3 linked regions of the Saccharomyces cerevisiae S288C genome follow. The protein of the gene in region 3 interacts with the protein of the main gene of each other region in a biochemical or structural test. Each region holds a gene or a part of one and is shown on either strand. Other genes may lie near its edges. The genes, in order: VPS3, VPS8 and VPS21.

What was found.
Region 1: the proteins of VPS21 (region 3) and VPS3 form a complex in vitro, tested with the Saccharomyces cerevisiae proteins (2 studies listed by BioGRID).
Region 2: the proteins of VPS21 (region 3) and VPS8 form a complex in vitro, tested with the Saccharomyces cerevisiae proteins (2 studies listed by BioGRID).

Annotation. Positions count from the first base shown.
Region 1 is NC_001136.10:1,437,088-1,443,185, forward strand, and holds VPS3 (CORVET complex subunit VPS3), read right to left. Parts: upstream 4,064-6,098; coding exon 1,028-4,063; downstream 1-1,027. Other genes in the region: mitochondrial 37S ribosomal protein mS46 RSM28, read left to right, coding at 1-928; PUF6 (Puf6p), read right to left, coding at 4,346-6,098. UniProt on the Saccharomyces cerevisiae protein: Required for sorting and processing of soluble vacuolar proteins, integrity of vacuolar morphology, efficient segregation of vacuolar material into the bud during the cell cycle, acidification of the vacuolar lumen, and assembly of the vacuolar H(+)-ATPase.
Region 2 is NC_001133.9:141,577-148,031, forward strand, and holds VPS8 (CORVET complex membrane-binding subunit VPS8), read left to right. Parts: upstream 1-2,130; coding exon 2,131-5,955; downstream 5,956-6,455. Other genes in the region: EFB1 (translation elongation factor 1 subunit beta), read left to right, coding at 598-677, 1,044-1,584; transcription factor TFIIIC subunit TFC3, read right to left, coding at 6,018-6,455. UniProt on the Saccharomyces cerevisiae protein: Required for localization and recycling of the CPY sorting receptor (VPS10) to the late-Golgi compartment. Involved in the retention of proteins to the late-Golgi. Plays an integral role in the complex vacuolar protein sorting process.
Region 3 is NC_001147.6:489,359-493,380, reverse strand, and holds VPS21 (Rab family GTPase VPS21), read left to right. Parts: upstream 1-2,552; coding exon 2,553-3,185; downstream 3,186-4,022. Other genes in the region: type 2C protein phosphatase PTC5, read left to right, coding at 540-2,258; YVC1 (Yvc1p), read right to left, coding at 3,647-4,022.

The sequences.
Region 1 (6,098 bases), on a different chromosome or scaffold from region 3:
AAATAAGAGGAGAAACGGGAATCAGAATAGGAATAGTATGAACAATAAAGAAAGCAGGGGTAGAGAGGGAAATCAAGGAGAAAGAAACATGAGACTGAAAAACCGTTCTAGTGATTCTGTTCGTGCTAACAAGCAGCAGTGGAATAAAGGTGCTAATACGTCTTTTGTAAAGAATCCTACTGGAAATACAGTAGTTATGCAGCCACAGTTCAAAAAGATGCAGAATGGCAAAAATAATTTGAAAGGAGATGCGAGAGTCGAAGATGATTTACTTGATGTCTTCAATTCGTCGATGGAGCAAAAACCTGTTAATTTCAATGGAACCCCCAAATCTAAAGCAAGGTTTCAAAAAAAGAGTCATATCTTAACAGCATCTAAAAGGAGAAAGGCTCCTCAACAGCAGCTACAGAAGGTTATCAAGAGACCTGTCAGTTCAGAATATGTACTAGAAGAGCCCACTCCTTTATCTTTGTTAGAATATACTCCTCAAGTTTTTCCAACAAAGGAATCCAGATTAGTCAACTTTACCTTAGATAGCTTGAAAAAATCCAATTACCCCATTTACAGATCGCCAAATTTGGGAATCCTCAAAGTACATGATTTCACCCTAAACACGCCAAACTTTGGTAAATATACACCAGGATCCTCCTTGATTTTTGCCAAAGAGCCTCAATTGCAGAATTTACTTATTGAAGAAGACCCAGAAGATTTTCATAGGCAAGTAACAGGAGAATATCAACTCTTAAAACCATATGTGAAAAAAGATTTTGAAAAACTGACGAAATCTAAAGATACTGTGAGTAAGCTCGTACAAAATAGTCAAGTTGTGAGGTTATCATTACAATCTGTTGTTATGGGCTCCGAGGAAAAGAAATTGGTATATGATGTTTGTTCTGGAATGAAACCAATTTCTGAATTACAACAGTAAATCAAACATCGTTATTTCATTCTTACATACCTGTAAATATCTAGTACGTATAAAATTTGAATTGTATGCCTGAACAGAAAAAGAATAGGTGGGCTCTTCTTATCCTTGACTATCAAAATTCCGGCTTAGTTCGTCAGAAATGGATATTTGATTTTTCAACAAACATTTCCGCAAATTAGATTCCTCCTTCTTTTCTTGATACTTAATAAGTACCTTTAAAAGCAATTCGGATATTGTTTGTACGGGAAATACGGAAGGTATAGTTTCGAGGATCTTTAATTGAATATCTGTATCATCTAAAAGTTCAAAATTTCTCTGTAGCAAATTAGTCACTAATTCAACTGAGTAATTCAAAGAAGATATGTCCAAGTATTGTTTCATCACCGCAACCAAGTTCTGCTTGCCTATGTATTTTTCTACACTTCTGAAATCATTAAATGACAAATATATTTTCAGCAATTCTTCGGAAGAAACCCAGTTTGTTAATTCATTGGGGAAAAATAACAAGGTCAATATGTGTTCTTTATCGATCTTGGAAATTTCGTCGAAGGTGAAATTAATAAACTCATCATCTTTTTCATTTTCCGATTTCAAGTTTTCACATTTTTCATAATATTTGGAAAAATTTTCGCACTGAAGACTATGCTTTAATTTGATATGAATAAAATTTGTTATATCTGTCTTATCATACGCGAAATCGTCTTTGTACTCTTTGATAAAATCTCCAAGAATGGACCATATGTTACTTTGGTTGATTATTTCTCGCAATTTCGCCAAATAATAGTTAAAGAGAAATTTGGAATCGTTGCTGTTTTGGACACCGAGTTGTTCTATGAATGATACCTTCAGGGATGTTTCTTCTGCGGGTATTTTGTTTAAAAAGTCGTTTTTATTAATACATGCCATGTCCAATATTTTAAGAACCTTTTTGATGGCGCATTCCTCAGTATTTTCGTCGCCTTGTTTAAGAGTGAGGAGAAGATCATCGGCTATTCTTTCTTTGATATAATCCTCAGGAAGTTTTTTGAGATTTTCTTCAATGAATGAAACTAGTGAAATGTAATCCCCAGCTTCCCTCAAAAGATTTAGTGCTTTAAGATATTCCCCTTTTTCTTTATATATCTCAATTAGTAACTCTATCCTAGGAAGTTTATCATCATGTAAATTAATCTCTCTGATAATTTCGTCGTAACTTTCGCGTTCAAACATATCAACAGTTATAGTTTCCTTTTTTTCCAATCTTAATTTGAATAAAGTTATATCAATAGTTTTCATTATATCATCAAAGTCATTCGTTAAGAGTCCAGTTTTATTCTTTTTCTTTAGTTCATTCTTCATCATCAGAAGCATTTTTAGAATATTCTCGCATTTGTTAGTTAGCTTCAAGCTTTTCAACCTTTCAACTATATTTATTAACCCATGGAAGCACCAGATCTCGCTATAGACTTTCCAGCCAAACATATAAAATAATATTCTGATGTCAACTTTGTCAGAAAAGTCACACCACTTTTTCATTACCTCATCTTCTATGTGATCGTAATGTAAGGTCATTAGAAACAATAAAAGAGACATCAAATATTTCGCTTCAATGTGCTCAAATTTTGTTAAATCCTTCTTCGCAAGCTTTTTCAATTGATCTTCAATATTATCAATTTCGGACTCTTCACATGATGTAAAACGTAAGACCATCGGCGTTGGAACTAATAAATGAATCCCTAAATTATTATAAACGATTAAAGAGGTCTTTTCTTCATAAGACTCTTCAACAAAGGCGCGTTCTCTTTCAATTCTAAATTTATTATCACTATGTGTCAGAGGCTCAAGTCTCAACTTATTGAATATTTTTTCTTTGAATTCTTCAGAATTATTGGTATTAGTGAATACATTGTCAGATTTTGAAATTTTTAAATCCGATCCAGAAGTAGTTATACTTTGCAACAACTGGGATTTTTCACTCGGCAAGGCAGAATATATGTCAACCGACTGGAAAGCAGACTCAGCGATTATGTAGGGAAACTCAACAATTACATTTCTTGGATAATTTTTTAGCACTATAGTTCCTTTTATTATGTCGCCATGATGATTTACCACTAAGGCCATCGCCCCACTATCGTATGATCCTCCTCCAGAACAAACTAAAAATTCACTCTGTTCATTGAAACTGGTTATTATAGGTTCTAAGTCTTCGTCAGTCTCACTTATTCGAAATAATGGAATTACCTGTGACGACTTTAGATTTATAAGTTCGTAACTATTTAACTTCGAAACCATTAATGTTTCTTCGTGCGCACAAGCTTTATCTATTAGTTTGAAATTAAAAGCTTTGGTAAGTACTAATGAATCTGCAGATATTTTGAGTAGTCTTACGCCTTCTGCGTGAAATGCATATATTCTATAAGCCTTCGAGCTTCGGGAAAAATTACAAATAACGACATCACTAATACCTTTAAGTCTAGTTGTGTTGGGCCTTGGTGCAAATTCTGGGAGAATAAATAAAACTAGTTCGTTATCACATAATATTAGTGCGCCTTCTACTTTAGGTAAAAGAAGGATTTTGTCTATCTTCGAATTTGATTCTGCATCAAACTTTGTTTGCGACACAAGCATATAGTTTCCACGTTCAAGTTCAAAGTAATGTAAAAGATCACCTGTAGTTGTTCCCAAGAATATGTGGTTCTCATACGCCTCACAACATGTGTATATCAAGTCAGATGGTACATTGTCTAATAGGGTAGAGATTGTAAAAGGACCTTCGCTTATTTTCAGTGGCAACCCTTTTTCCTGTTCATCATTCGTGGAGGTTTTTTCATTTAAGCTTGTAATATCTGTATTTATGACATTATCTTCTGCGCTGCTAGGCTGACAGCTTTCTTGTGCTGTGTTTTTATCAGTATGTGGACTGTCTTCGATTGGTCGACTCTCTTCCTGGGAAAATTTATCAGCTCGTACTGTTTCATTTGGGTTAGCATTATGTGTATTCGTCTCTTCACTTTCTGTTGCACGTAGACTATCATCTTCTGTTTTTTTTTTGTCATTTTCTCTTTCGTGAGGTGAGGATTCGCTATCTATATCGAGCTTTCCTTCATTTTCCTTTACTTCTTTTCCTTTGTCATTATTCGTTTTCTTTTTTACCATGGTTCTATAATATTATGGTTGCAACCAAAAAAAGGTAGTCTCCTTGACTGTTATGATAGTTCTGATTCACTAATGTCGTTATAAAATAGTAAGTACATATGAATATTTCCAGTTAAACTTGCCTTTTTTTCCCATCGGAACGGTATCTTCAACAGATATTATGCGATGTAAGGAGTTTTTAGGAGACAATTATATATACCTGCACTTTCAATGAGATCAAGCTTTTTATTATTATTGTACAGATGCTTATATACCAAATATTGTGACTTTATCGTAGAAAATTTATTTTAACAATTTAGCCAAAAGCTGAGAGCCTTTGTTACTTTCATCAGTGGTGATTTTACTCTGAACTCCTCTCAAATCCTTCAAAAATGGTTTCCCTTCTTTTTGATCTTTTAACGTTTCATACAGTGCAACAATTGTAAATGAACTATCAGCGTTATTAATCCATTCTAACAAGTTGGAGGAGTCAATAATTTCATCGTATAACTTTTCAGCAAATGGAACGCCTAAGCCTTGAACATTTTTTAATGGTATGACCTTTTTTTCTTTGTTATTCCATTTACCACCTTGAATTAGTGCCTTTAATAGTCTAGTAGAAAATGCTCTATGTATTGGGTGCTCTTCTTCGGTTATGTCACCCTTAAAAGTAGTTAAAATGTTGTTTAAGACCTGTTGATACTTTTCTTGGTCTTTTTCATTCAGCTGCGCGTACAACTCATCGTTTATTAGAACTTCGGCAATGAACTGACAGCCTAGATTCTCTGTCAATATACTGGAATAATCTTTTGATATAGTGCTTAAAAACATGGGGGCGAATTTTGACAAAAGTTCGTGCCTTCTTTGTAAAGGATCCTTCTTAGAGGTGGCTTTGGACAGTTCAATGTATCTCAATAATTCATTCTTGACGATAGGTGAGAAATACTTACCGTCCAAACCTAATAGTATGTATAACCAAGGCCTTCTACCAAACTTATCAATTATGAATTCTTGCAAATGTTCCTTAACAGTAGGACTGAAAGTCTTGAATACTAAAACTGTATCGTCAACACAGTTCAGAATTGTAATGAAGACAATATTACCGTACTCATTTTTGATCAATTTTTCGGCGTGGTTTTTCAAAGCCTTTAAAATTAACTTTCTTTCCTTGGCGTTAGCTCTAGCAACCAAAGTACAAGCAACGTCTGAACCTTCTGGAGTATGCACCAATTCAGCGAATTGTTCATGAAGCAATTCGATCATTTCAGATATTTCCTTTTCGTTGGCTATTTTCACATATTCTCTCATAGCAGCATGTAGAATTTGAAAGCCGGTGGAACCCTTTTCTACTGATGCGGTAATGGTACCAATCAAGTTTCTGGCGATAATATTCCTTTTTTCAATGCTACTTTCACAAACTTTCTCAATGGTCAAATCTTTGTGGGTTTCTCTAAATACAGCATATTCAGAGCCCCAAAACTCTTTAATCATTTGTTGTCTTTGTTCATGTGTGGCATAAAGAACAAATAAATCTTCAACAACGTAGGCACCCTCACGATGTCTCATTAATTTTCTCAAAGAACCGTGTAATTCATTTATTATAGTTTGCCTTGAACTTCTTGAACCATAATGCAGTAACTTAACCAATAGATACTTACCGTACGCAGATGTGGCTAGAACATAAAATTTTCCCTTTAAAGCATCGACAATTTGTTCACGACGATCTTTGGACGAATACTTGACTAAAGTTTGAACAATACGGGAAGCATCATGCTTTAAGACAAGATCACTGATACAGTCCTTAGATAGCTCCCAGATTTCGTTGGAAAGTTTTTCACGAATCTGTTTTGGTAAAGGTGGGGTCTTCACACGCAATCTTTCCCAGACGGATTTAATTTGTTGCACTTGGGTACCAGATTTTCTTTGCATTTTCCTTTCTTTTAGCAGTTTTCTTTGTTCAGTGTGATTTCCATTTTCACCTCCTTCAGATTTGTCCTTTCCTTCTTTCTCTTCATTCTCATTTTCATGTTCCTCACTGTCATCGGAAATATCTAAT
Region 2 (6,455 bases), on a different chromosome or scaffold from region 3:
CATCAATCCACCCCTTATATAACCTTGAAGTCCTCGAAACGATCAGCTAATCTAAATGGCCCCCCTTCTTTTTGGGTTCTTTCTCTCCCTTTTGCCGCCGATGGAACGTTCTGGAAAAAGAAGAATAATTTAATTACTTTCTCAACTAAAATCTGGAGAAAAAACGCAAATGACAGCTTCTAAACGTTCCGTGTGCTTTCTTTCTAGAATGTTCTGGAAAGTTTACAACAATCCACAAGAACGAAAATGCCGTTGACAATGATGAAACCATCATCCACACACCGCGCACACGTGCTTTATTTCTTTTTCTGAATTTTTTTTTTCCGCCATTTTCAACCAAGGAAATTTTTTTTCTTAGGGCTCAGAACCTGCAGGTGAAGAAGCGCTTTAGAAATCAAAGCACAACGTAACAATTTGTCGACAACCGAGCCTTTGAAGAAAAAATTTTTCACATTGTCGCCTCTAAATAAATAGTTTAAGGTTATCTACCCACTATATTTAGTTGGTTCTTTTTTTTTTCCTTCTACTCTTTATCTTTTTACCTCATGCTTTCTACCTTTCAGCACTGAAGAGTCCAACCGAATATATACACACATAATGGCATCCACCGATTTCTCCAAGATTGAAACTTTGAAACAATTAAACGCTTCTTTGGCTGACAAGTCATACATTGAAGGGTATGTTCCGATTTAGTTTACTTTATAGATCGTTGTTTTTCTTTCTTTTTTTTTTTTCCTATGGTTACATGTAAAGGGAAGTTAACTAATAATGATTACTTTTTTTCGCTTATGTGAATGATGAATTTAATTCTTTGGTCCGTGTTTATGATGGGAAGTAAGACCCCCGATATGAGTGACAAAAGAGATGTGGTTGACTATCACAGTATCTGACGATAGCACAGAGCAGAGTATCATTATTAGTTATCTGTTATTTTTTTTTCCTTTTTTGTTCAAAAAAAGAAAGACAGAGTCTAAAGATTGCATTACAAGAAAAAAGTTCTCATTACTAACAAGCAAAATGTTTTGTTTCTCCTTTTAAAATAGTACTGCTGTTTCTCAAGCTGACGTCACTGTCTTCAAGGCTTTCCAATCTGCTTACCCAGAATTCTCCAGATGGTTCAACCACATCGCTTCCAAGGCCGATGAATTCGACTCTTTCCCAGCTGCCTCTGCTGCCGCTGCCGAAGAAGAAGAAGATGACGATGTCGATTTATTCGGTTCCGACGATGAAGAAGCTGACGCTGAAGCTGAAAAGTTGAAGGCTGAAAGAATTGCCGCATACAACGCTAAGAAGGCTGCTAAGCCAGCTAAGCCAGCTGCTAAGTCCATTGTCACTCTAGATGTCAAGCCATGGGATGATGAAACCAATTTGGAAGAAATGGTTGCTAACGTCAAGGCCATCGAAATGGAAGGTTTGACCTGGGGTGCTCACCAATTTATCCCAATTGGTTTCGGTATCAAGAAGTTGCAAATTAACTGTGTTGTCGAAGATGACAAGGTTTCCTTGGATGACTTGCAACAAAGCATTGAAGAAGACGAAGACCACGTCCAATCTACCGATATTGCTGCTATGCAAAAATTATAAAAGGCTTTTTTATAAACTTTTTATAATTAACATTAAAGCAAAAACAACATTGTAAAGATTAACAAATAAATGAAAAAAACAACGAAATAACTTAGGTTTTAGGCTAAAAAAAACAGAAGGAATTTTGAACGATAAACTTTTCGACTGCACACGAAACATTATTACTAATTTGTGTAACCACTATATAAGGAATCGTGTTTATTAATTGAATTTATTCCGGGAATATTCAAGTTATGTATATCTCTTTTCATATTCTTAAATACACATACTCATAATATCTTGTCGAAAATACGCGGTGTAGGGAGTTATGGTGGATAACTTTTTCACGATTAGAAGAAAAGGAAAATTTCATTATTCGTAGCTTAACATGGCAAAAACGAGAAAGACATATAATCAAAACGTGAGTTTCCTGTGGAAAAAAAAAAAAGGGAACCTCTGGTTACGATGATATACCTGCGTGAAAAAGGACAGTTATTACCAATACATACAAAGGCTTAATAAGTGTAAAATATATATCTGCCGAGACCATTACTCATTACACCTAGAATGGAGCAAAATGGCCTTGACCACGACAGCAGATCTAGCATCGATACGACTATTAATGACACTCAAAAGACTTTCCTAGAATTTAGATCGTATACCCAATTAAGTGAAAAACTGGCATCTAGTTCTTCATATACGGCACCTCCCCTGAACGAAGATGGTCCTAAAGGGGTAGCTTCTGCAGTGTCACAAGGCTCCGAATCCGTAGTCTCATGGACAACTTTAACACACGTATATTCCATCCTGGGTGCTTATGGAGGGCCCACGTGCTTGTATCCGACAGCCACGTATTTTTTGATGGGCACTTCTAAAGGATGCGTACTCATTTTTAATTATAATGAACATTTGCAGACAATCCTAGTGCCGACCTTATCTGAGGACCCTTCTATTCACTCAATAAGAAGTCCAGTGAAATCAATTGTCATATGTTCCGATGGTACTCATGTAGCTGCCTCATACGAGACCGGAAATATATGCATTTGGAACTTGAACGTAGGGTATAGAGTGAAACCCACTTCTGAACCAACAAATGGTATGACCCCAACGCCTGCCTTACCGGCAGTCTTACACATCGATGACCATGTGAACAAGGAAATCACAGGGTTAGACTTTTTTGGTGCTCGGCATACAGCCCTGATTGTTAGTGATAGGACAGGTAAAGTATCACTCTATAACGGTTACAGAAGAGGCTTTTGGCAGTTGGTGTATAATTCAAAAAAAATTTTAGATGTGAACTCTTCCAAGGAGAAATTAATAAGGTCAAAGTTGTCTCCACTAATATCACGGGAGAAAATTTCCACTAATTTGTTGAGTGTACTCACAACTACACATTTTGCCCTTATTTTATTATCGCCACACGTTTCTTTGATGTTTCAAGAAACTGTTGAACCCTCAGTACAAAATTCTCTAGTCGTGAATAGCTCTATTTCATGGACTCAAAACTGTTCCAGGGTTGCTTATTCCGTAAATAATAAAATTTCTGTTATTTCCATATCTTCATCAGACTTCAATGTTCAGTCCGCTAGCCATTCTCCTGAATTTGCAGAATCTATATTATCCATTCAATGGATTGACCAGCTCCTACTTGGTGTTTTAACCATATCGCACCAATTTTTGGTATTGCACCCCCAACATGACTTCAAGATCCTGTTAAGATTGGATTTTCTGATTCACGATTTGATGATCCCACCTAATAAATATTTTGTAATAAGTAGAAGAAGTTTCTACCTGTTAACAAACTACTCATTTAAAATTGGCAAATTTGTGTCTTGGTCAGATATTACTTTAAGACATATTTTGAAAGGCGACTACTTGGGTGCATTGGAGTTCATAGAATCACTTTTGCAACCTTACTGTCCACTGGCAAACTTGTTGAAGCTAGATAATAATACGGAAGAGAGGACTAAGCAACTTATGGAACCATTTTACAATCTGTCCTTGGCTGCCCTAAGGTTTCTTATAAAAAAAGATAATGCCGACTACAATAGGGTTTACCAATTATTAATGGTAGTTGTTCGTGTTTTGCAGCAATCTTCCAAAAAACTAGACTCAATTCCTTCTCTAGACGTCTTTTTGGAACAGGGTCTGGAGTTCTTTGAATTGAAGGACAACGCGGTATATTTTGAAGTTGTAGCAAATATTGTTGCCCAAGGATCAGTTACGTCAATTTCCCCAGTTCTTTTCAGGTCCATAATTGATTACTATGCTAAGGAGGAGAATTTAAAAGTAATTGAAGACTTAATCATCATGTTAAATCCTACTACGCTTGATGTTGATCTTGCCGTCAAACTATGCCAAAAGTATAATTTGTTCGATTTATTAATATATATTTGGAACAAGATCTTTGATGATTATCAAACCCCAGTGGTGGACTTGATATACAGGATTTCTAACCAAAGTGAAAAATGTGTGATCTTCAATGGTCCTCAAGTACCTCCTGAAACGACTATATTTGATTACGTAACGTATATCCTTACTGGCAGGCAATATCCACAAAACTTGTCTATATCACCAAGTGATAAATGCTCCAAAATACAAAGGGAACTTTCAGCATTTATTTTTAGTGGCTTCTCCATAAAATGGCCGTCGAACAGCAATCATAAACTTTACATATGCGAAAATCCAGAAGAAGAGCCAGCATTTCCTTACTTTCACCTTTTATTGAAATCGAATCCGAGTAGGTTCTTAGCAATGCTCAATGAAGTGTTTGAAGCGTCCTTGTTTAACGATGACAATGACATGGTTGCATCAGTTGGAGAAGCAGAATTGGTAAGTAGGCAATATGTTATTGATCTACTATTGGATGCTATGAAAGATACGGGAAATTCAGACAACATCAGGGTACTTGTTGCAATTTTCATTGCAACTAGTATATCAAAATATCCTCAATTTATTAAAGTGTCTAACCAAGCCCTCGACTGCGTTGTTAATACCATATGCTCCTCTAGGGTTCAAGGTATATATGAAATTTCTCAAATAGCTCTGGAGTCGCTTTTACCCTATTATCATTCAAGAACAACAGAAAATTTTATACTGGAACTAAAAGAAAAAAATTTCAATAAAGTTCTTTTCCATATCTATAAAAGTGAAAATAAGTACGCCAGTGCGCTTTCACTTATTTTAGAAACTAAGGACATCGAAAAAGAATATAACACGGACATTGTATCCATAACCGACTACATACTCAAAAAATGCCCACCTGGAAGTTTAGAATGTGGCAAAGTTACTGAAGTTATCGAGACGAACTTTGATCTTCTTCTCTCAAGGATCGGTATCGAAAAATGCGTCACAATTTTTTCTGACTTTGACTATAATCTTCATCAAGAAATCCTGGAAGTAAAGAATGAGGAGACTCAGCAAAAGTATTTGGATAAGCTTTTTTCTACGCCAAATATCAACAATAAGGTCGATAAGCGTTTAAGAAATTTACACATCGAATTGAACTGTAAATACAAGAGCAAAAGGGAAATGATTCTTTGGCTTAATGGTACAGTTCTCAGCAACGCTGAGAGCTTACAAATTCTGGACTTATTGAATCAAGACTCTAATTTTGAAGCTGCAGCTATAATTCACGAACGCTTGGAAAGTTTTAACCTAGCAGTCAGGGATTTATTAAGTTTTATTGAACAATGTCTAAATGAAGGGAAAACAAATATATCTACTTTATTGGAATCTTTGAGGAGGGCCTTTGATGATTGTAATTCTGCTGGTACCGAGAAAAAATCGTGTTGGATATTATTGATTACATTCCTGATCACTCTATATGGGAAATATCCTTCACACGATGAAAGGAAAGATTTATGTAATAAACTACTTCAAGAAGCATTTTTGGGATTGGTTAGGTCCAAGAGTTCCTCTCAGAAGGATTCAGGTGGGGAATTCTGGGAAATAATGTCTTCTGTTCTTGAGCACCAAGACGTTATTTTAATGAAAGTTCAGGATTTAAAGCAACTGCTACTGAATGTTTTTAATACTTATAAATTGGAAAGATCTCTTTCTGAGTTGATTCAAAAGATTATAGAGGATTCTTCGCAAGATCTTGTTCAACAGTATAGAAAATTTCTGAGTGAAGGGTGGTCTATACACACCGACGACTGCGAAATCTGCGGGAAAAAAATATGGGGAGCTGGTCTGGACCCATTACTTTTTCTAGCTTGGGAAAATGTACAGCGCCACCAAGATATGATTAGTGTAGATCTCAAAACTCCCCTTGTCATATTCAAATGTCACCATGGCTTTCACCAGACTTGCCTCGAAAACTTGGCCCAGAAACCCGATGAATATTCTTGTTTAATTTGCCAGACGGAATCTAACCCAAAAATAGTATAACATTTCTAAATATTTAATACAACTTTGGTTACATAAAAGTAAAATTTATACACCTCATTTCATTATGTAGATTCATATATAGAATACCAATTATGATTGACCCAATAGCCATCAAAATCAGTAGTTATTAATACTTGTCTTTCTAGGAGCCATTTGCATATTTCTGATATTTCATGAAGCGAAAGTACTTCACGACACCTAGATTGCAATCTACTCAATGTTATCCCTGGATGAAATATTATTTCGTTAACGACCATAGTAACTACCTGCTTCCATATGTTTGGCCTAATGGAACCAGATCCATTCACCCATAAACGAGAAAATGGTTTGCCCAGTGGAACTTTGACAGCAGACTTCCTTGCTGTATTCAATTTTGTCTGAGAATTGGCATATATAATCAGAGGGGGAGTTAATGTTCGTATTTCAAATCTCCTTGAAGTATACGTTAAAGGTCGAACATTTCTCACCATTGGAATTACATCCATATTCAATAGCTCTCC
Region 3 (4,022 bases):
CTAATAGAGTGGCTTCCCTTGCTTTCTAGAAATAGTAAAACACATTGATTAAAAAAAGATATATTGTCGATTTTCACTAACTCATCGCTGGGGAACAAAAATTTTTTCATTATCATCACAGTTCATCATGTTCGACGAGCTACGTGCCAATTCATTTCCTCCACTAGTCTCCAACTTAAGAAATACTCTCAGAGGTTGCAATCTTGTGCTGTTCAGGGTGTGATGGGCAGCATTGACTAAATTTCCTTATCCCTTGCATAGTTACATTCTTAGTTATCAGGTATTGGCGACCAATTGCATACATTTTTATTTTCTACTTTAAAACTCAGTAATGAGCAGTTACCGGCCCTTCATTATGTAGAAAAACAGGATTCACTTCTTTCTACACAAGATACAAAAAAGAAAAAAAGGATCGATTGGAGGGTAAACGAAATCGTGTGATAGGCAGGAAAAGAAACATCTATTGCTACTTTAATTGAATTTGTGCTCTACTGAAATTTTTCAACAGAAGAAGTGCTTTTACTTCTCTCAATCTCTCCATGTCTCCCTTAACTAGAACCGTAGCTATAAAGAAAACGGTTAAGGTTCTATCTAAATGTCAATCTGGTAGAGAATACACACAGAAGTTTCTCCAACGTGCATATTCAACATCACATGCCAACAGCACATACTATTCAAGGACAAAGCTATTCATATCATCACATTCTAAAGCTCTAAACATTGCTCTACTAAGCGGGTCCCTACTGTTGACCTACTCCTACTATTCCCCTAAAAAGATCCTCTCCCTTGATACAATTAACGGAATAAAAGATTATTCTACAAATACTAGTGGTAACATTAACATGCCGTCACCTAATCCAAAAGGAACAGAGACACAAAAGAGTCAACGGTCTCAGAATGACCAATCTGTTCTTATCTTGAACGATTCTAAAATAGAGGCTAAACTACATGATAGAGAGGAAAGCCATTTTGTTAACCGTGGCACTGGTATATTCAGGTATGATGTGGCACAGTTGCCCTCTAACCATCCAATAGAAGACGATCACGTAGAACAAATCATTACCATTCCGATAGAAAGTGAGGATGGCAAGTCCATAGAGAAGGATTTGTATTTTTTTGGAATTTTTGATGGACATGGTGGTCCTTTCACTTCGGAAAAATTATCTAAAGATCTAGTCCGTTATGTAGCGTATCAATTAGGTCAGGTATATGACCAGAACAAAACGGTTTTCCATTCCGACCCCAACCAATTAATCGATTCTGCAATTTCGAAAGGTTTTTTGAAACTAGATAATGATCTTGTAATCGAATCGTTCAGGAAGCTGTTTCAAGATCCAAACAACACAAATATTGCAAACACTTTACCAGCGATTTCTGGTTCTTGTGCACTATTAAGTTTATACAACTCCACTAACTCAATTTTGAAAGTGGCTGTCACTGGAGACTCAAGGGCTTTAATTTGTGGTTTGGACAACGAGGGCAATTGGACGGTAAAGTCGCTATCCACCGACCAGACCGGTGATAATTTGGATGAAGTACGGAGAATTAGGAAAGAACATCCAGGAGAACCAAACGTTATAAGAAACGGAAGAATATTGGGTTCATTACAACCATCCAGGGCATTTGGAGACTATCGCTACAAGATCAAAGAAGTCGATGGAAAACCATTATCGGATTTGCCTGAAGTTGCCAAACTTTATTTTAGAAGAGAGCCAAGGGATTTCAAGACACCCCCATATGTCACTGCGGAACCAGTGATTACTTCTGCCAAAATTGGTGAGAACACTAAATTTATGGTGATGGGTTCGGATGGTTTATTCGAATTACTAACTAATGAAGAAATTGCTTCCTTGGTTATCAGGTGGATGGATAAAAATATGAATCTGGCACCTGTGAAGGCAGAACCGGGGAAATTACCAAAAGTTATCGATGTATCTGAAGACAAGGAAGCACAAAGACCGGCATTCAGGTACAAGGATAATAATTCGAGCTCACCATCAGGATCAAACCCAGAGTATCTTATTGAAGACAAAAACGTCGCCACTCATTTAATTAGAAATGCATTAAGTGCGGGCGGAAGAAAAGAATATGTATCGGCATTGGTAAGTATACCATCGCCGATGAGTAGAAGATACAGAGATGACTTGACAGTAACAGTGGCGTTCTTTGGTGATTCTGGAACACCCTCAATTGTCTCCAATGCTACTTCAATAGTTATGAACCCGGAGGCAACAACAAAGCCAAAACCTAGATTATGACGATATAAACTTATGCTGAGGTAGGTATATACCAGAGGATTTATTTTATAGATATTAGTCTGCTGATTATCTAGTTTCTTGTCACCTCATACGTGTTTTTTTTTTTTTTGGTTTTCTCGGTTTGCATTATGGGGCTTTTTGCTAAAACAATATCCCCGAAAAGACAAAGAAAGAGAAGTGAGGTGAAAATACGAGCAGCTTATCTTATAAAAGTGGCAACGATTTTAAAAATAAAAAGCAAGATCGTCGACTTATCTAAGCTATAAAAAAATATCCCTTTTATCACACAAAAAAATGAACACATCAGTCACTTCCATAAAGTTGGTACTGTTGGGTGAGGCAGCAGTTGGTAAATCGTCAATAGTCCTAAGGTTTGTATCTAATGATTTTGCCGAAAATAAGGAGCCCACCATTGGTGCAGCATTCCTCACTCAAAGAGTTACTATAAATGAACATACTGTTAAGTTTGAAATATGGGACACTGCTGGGCAAGAGAGATTTGCATCTTTAGCACCTATGTACTATAGAAACGCACAAGCTGCTCTTGTAGTATACGACGTTACAAAACCACAATCCTTTATTAAAGCGCGCCACTGGGTTAAGGAATTACATGAACAGGCATCAAAGGATATCATCATTGCGTTAGTTGGTAACAAGATCGATATGCTGCAAGAAGGTGGGGAAAGAAAAGTCGCAAGGGAAGAAGGTGAAAAGCTAGCGGAAGAAAAGGGCTTGTTGTTCTTTGAAACAAGTGCAAAGACAGGAGAGAATGTTAACGATGTATTTTTGGGAATCGGTGAAAAGATACCACTGAAGACGGCTGAAGAGCAAAATAGTGCAAGTAACGAACGTGAGTCGAACAATCAAAGAGTGGATTTGAACGCTGCTAATGATGGGACCAGCGCAAACAGTGCTTGCAGTTGTTAGAGAGGGGAAAATAAATATATATAAAAAAAAAGTCTGGGCAAATTGAGATAAATAGATCTTCAAAACGGGAAAGATGAAAGTCATAATTTATCGTACCTAGAAAGGAGAGGGAGTTTTCATTTTTTACCGTAATCGTTGTTTTTCTTTTCTTCTTATAATTTGTAAATTTTTTAACTGCATTAGATCATTATATTATCTTTCAAAACGCCAGTCGTTTTTATTAGACCTTTATATACGTTTCAAAGTGGTTTGTACACGTTAGTTTAGTTAAACTTTTGTTTTCATGTAGACCAAAATATAAACTTATTTTATGCCGAAAATCGGGAGATGGATTAGTTAATATTGTAAATAATGATAAATTAAAGGAACATTAAATTTACAAAGTTGCAATGAGGAGCAATATATATATATATATATGGATTTCTGAGAAATTAATTAAGCAGTATTTGAACACATGTCGTTTACTCTTTCTTATCCTTTATGTCTAATTTTTCGAGTAGATCGGTAATTACAGCTGTCAAGTTTTCCACTTTCTTAGTGAGCTCTTTGACTTCATCTTTATCTTCACCAGCATCATCTTCAGTGTCATCGTTATCATACTGTTCGAAGGAGGGACTGCATTTTTTAACGTTTTTATACCACTTCTTAGGGACTTTAAAATGGACATCTTCCTGCTCTGCTGTTCTTTGCAGTTTTAGCGAACGGGAATTCTTTAACTGGGTGGCTCTCATGCCAGAATTTCGGTTATCAGAAAACAAACCGTCATCATCATCCAAGTAGCCATCTGTCAAATCCCATGGAGTATCATATTCATTGGCATCATCGTTTAACCTTTTC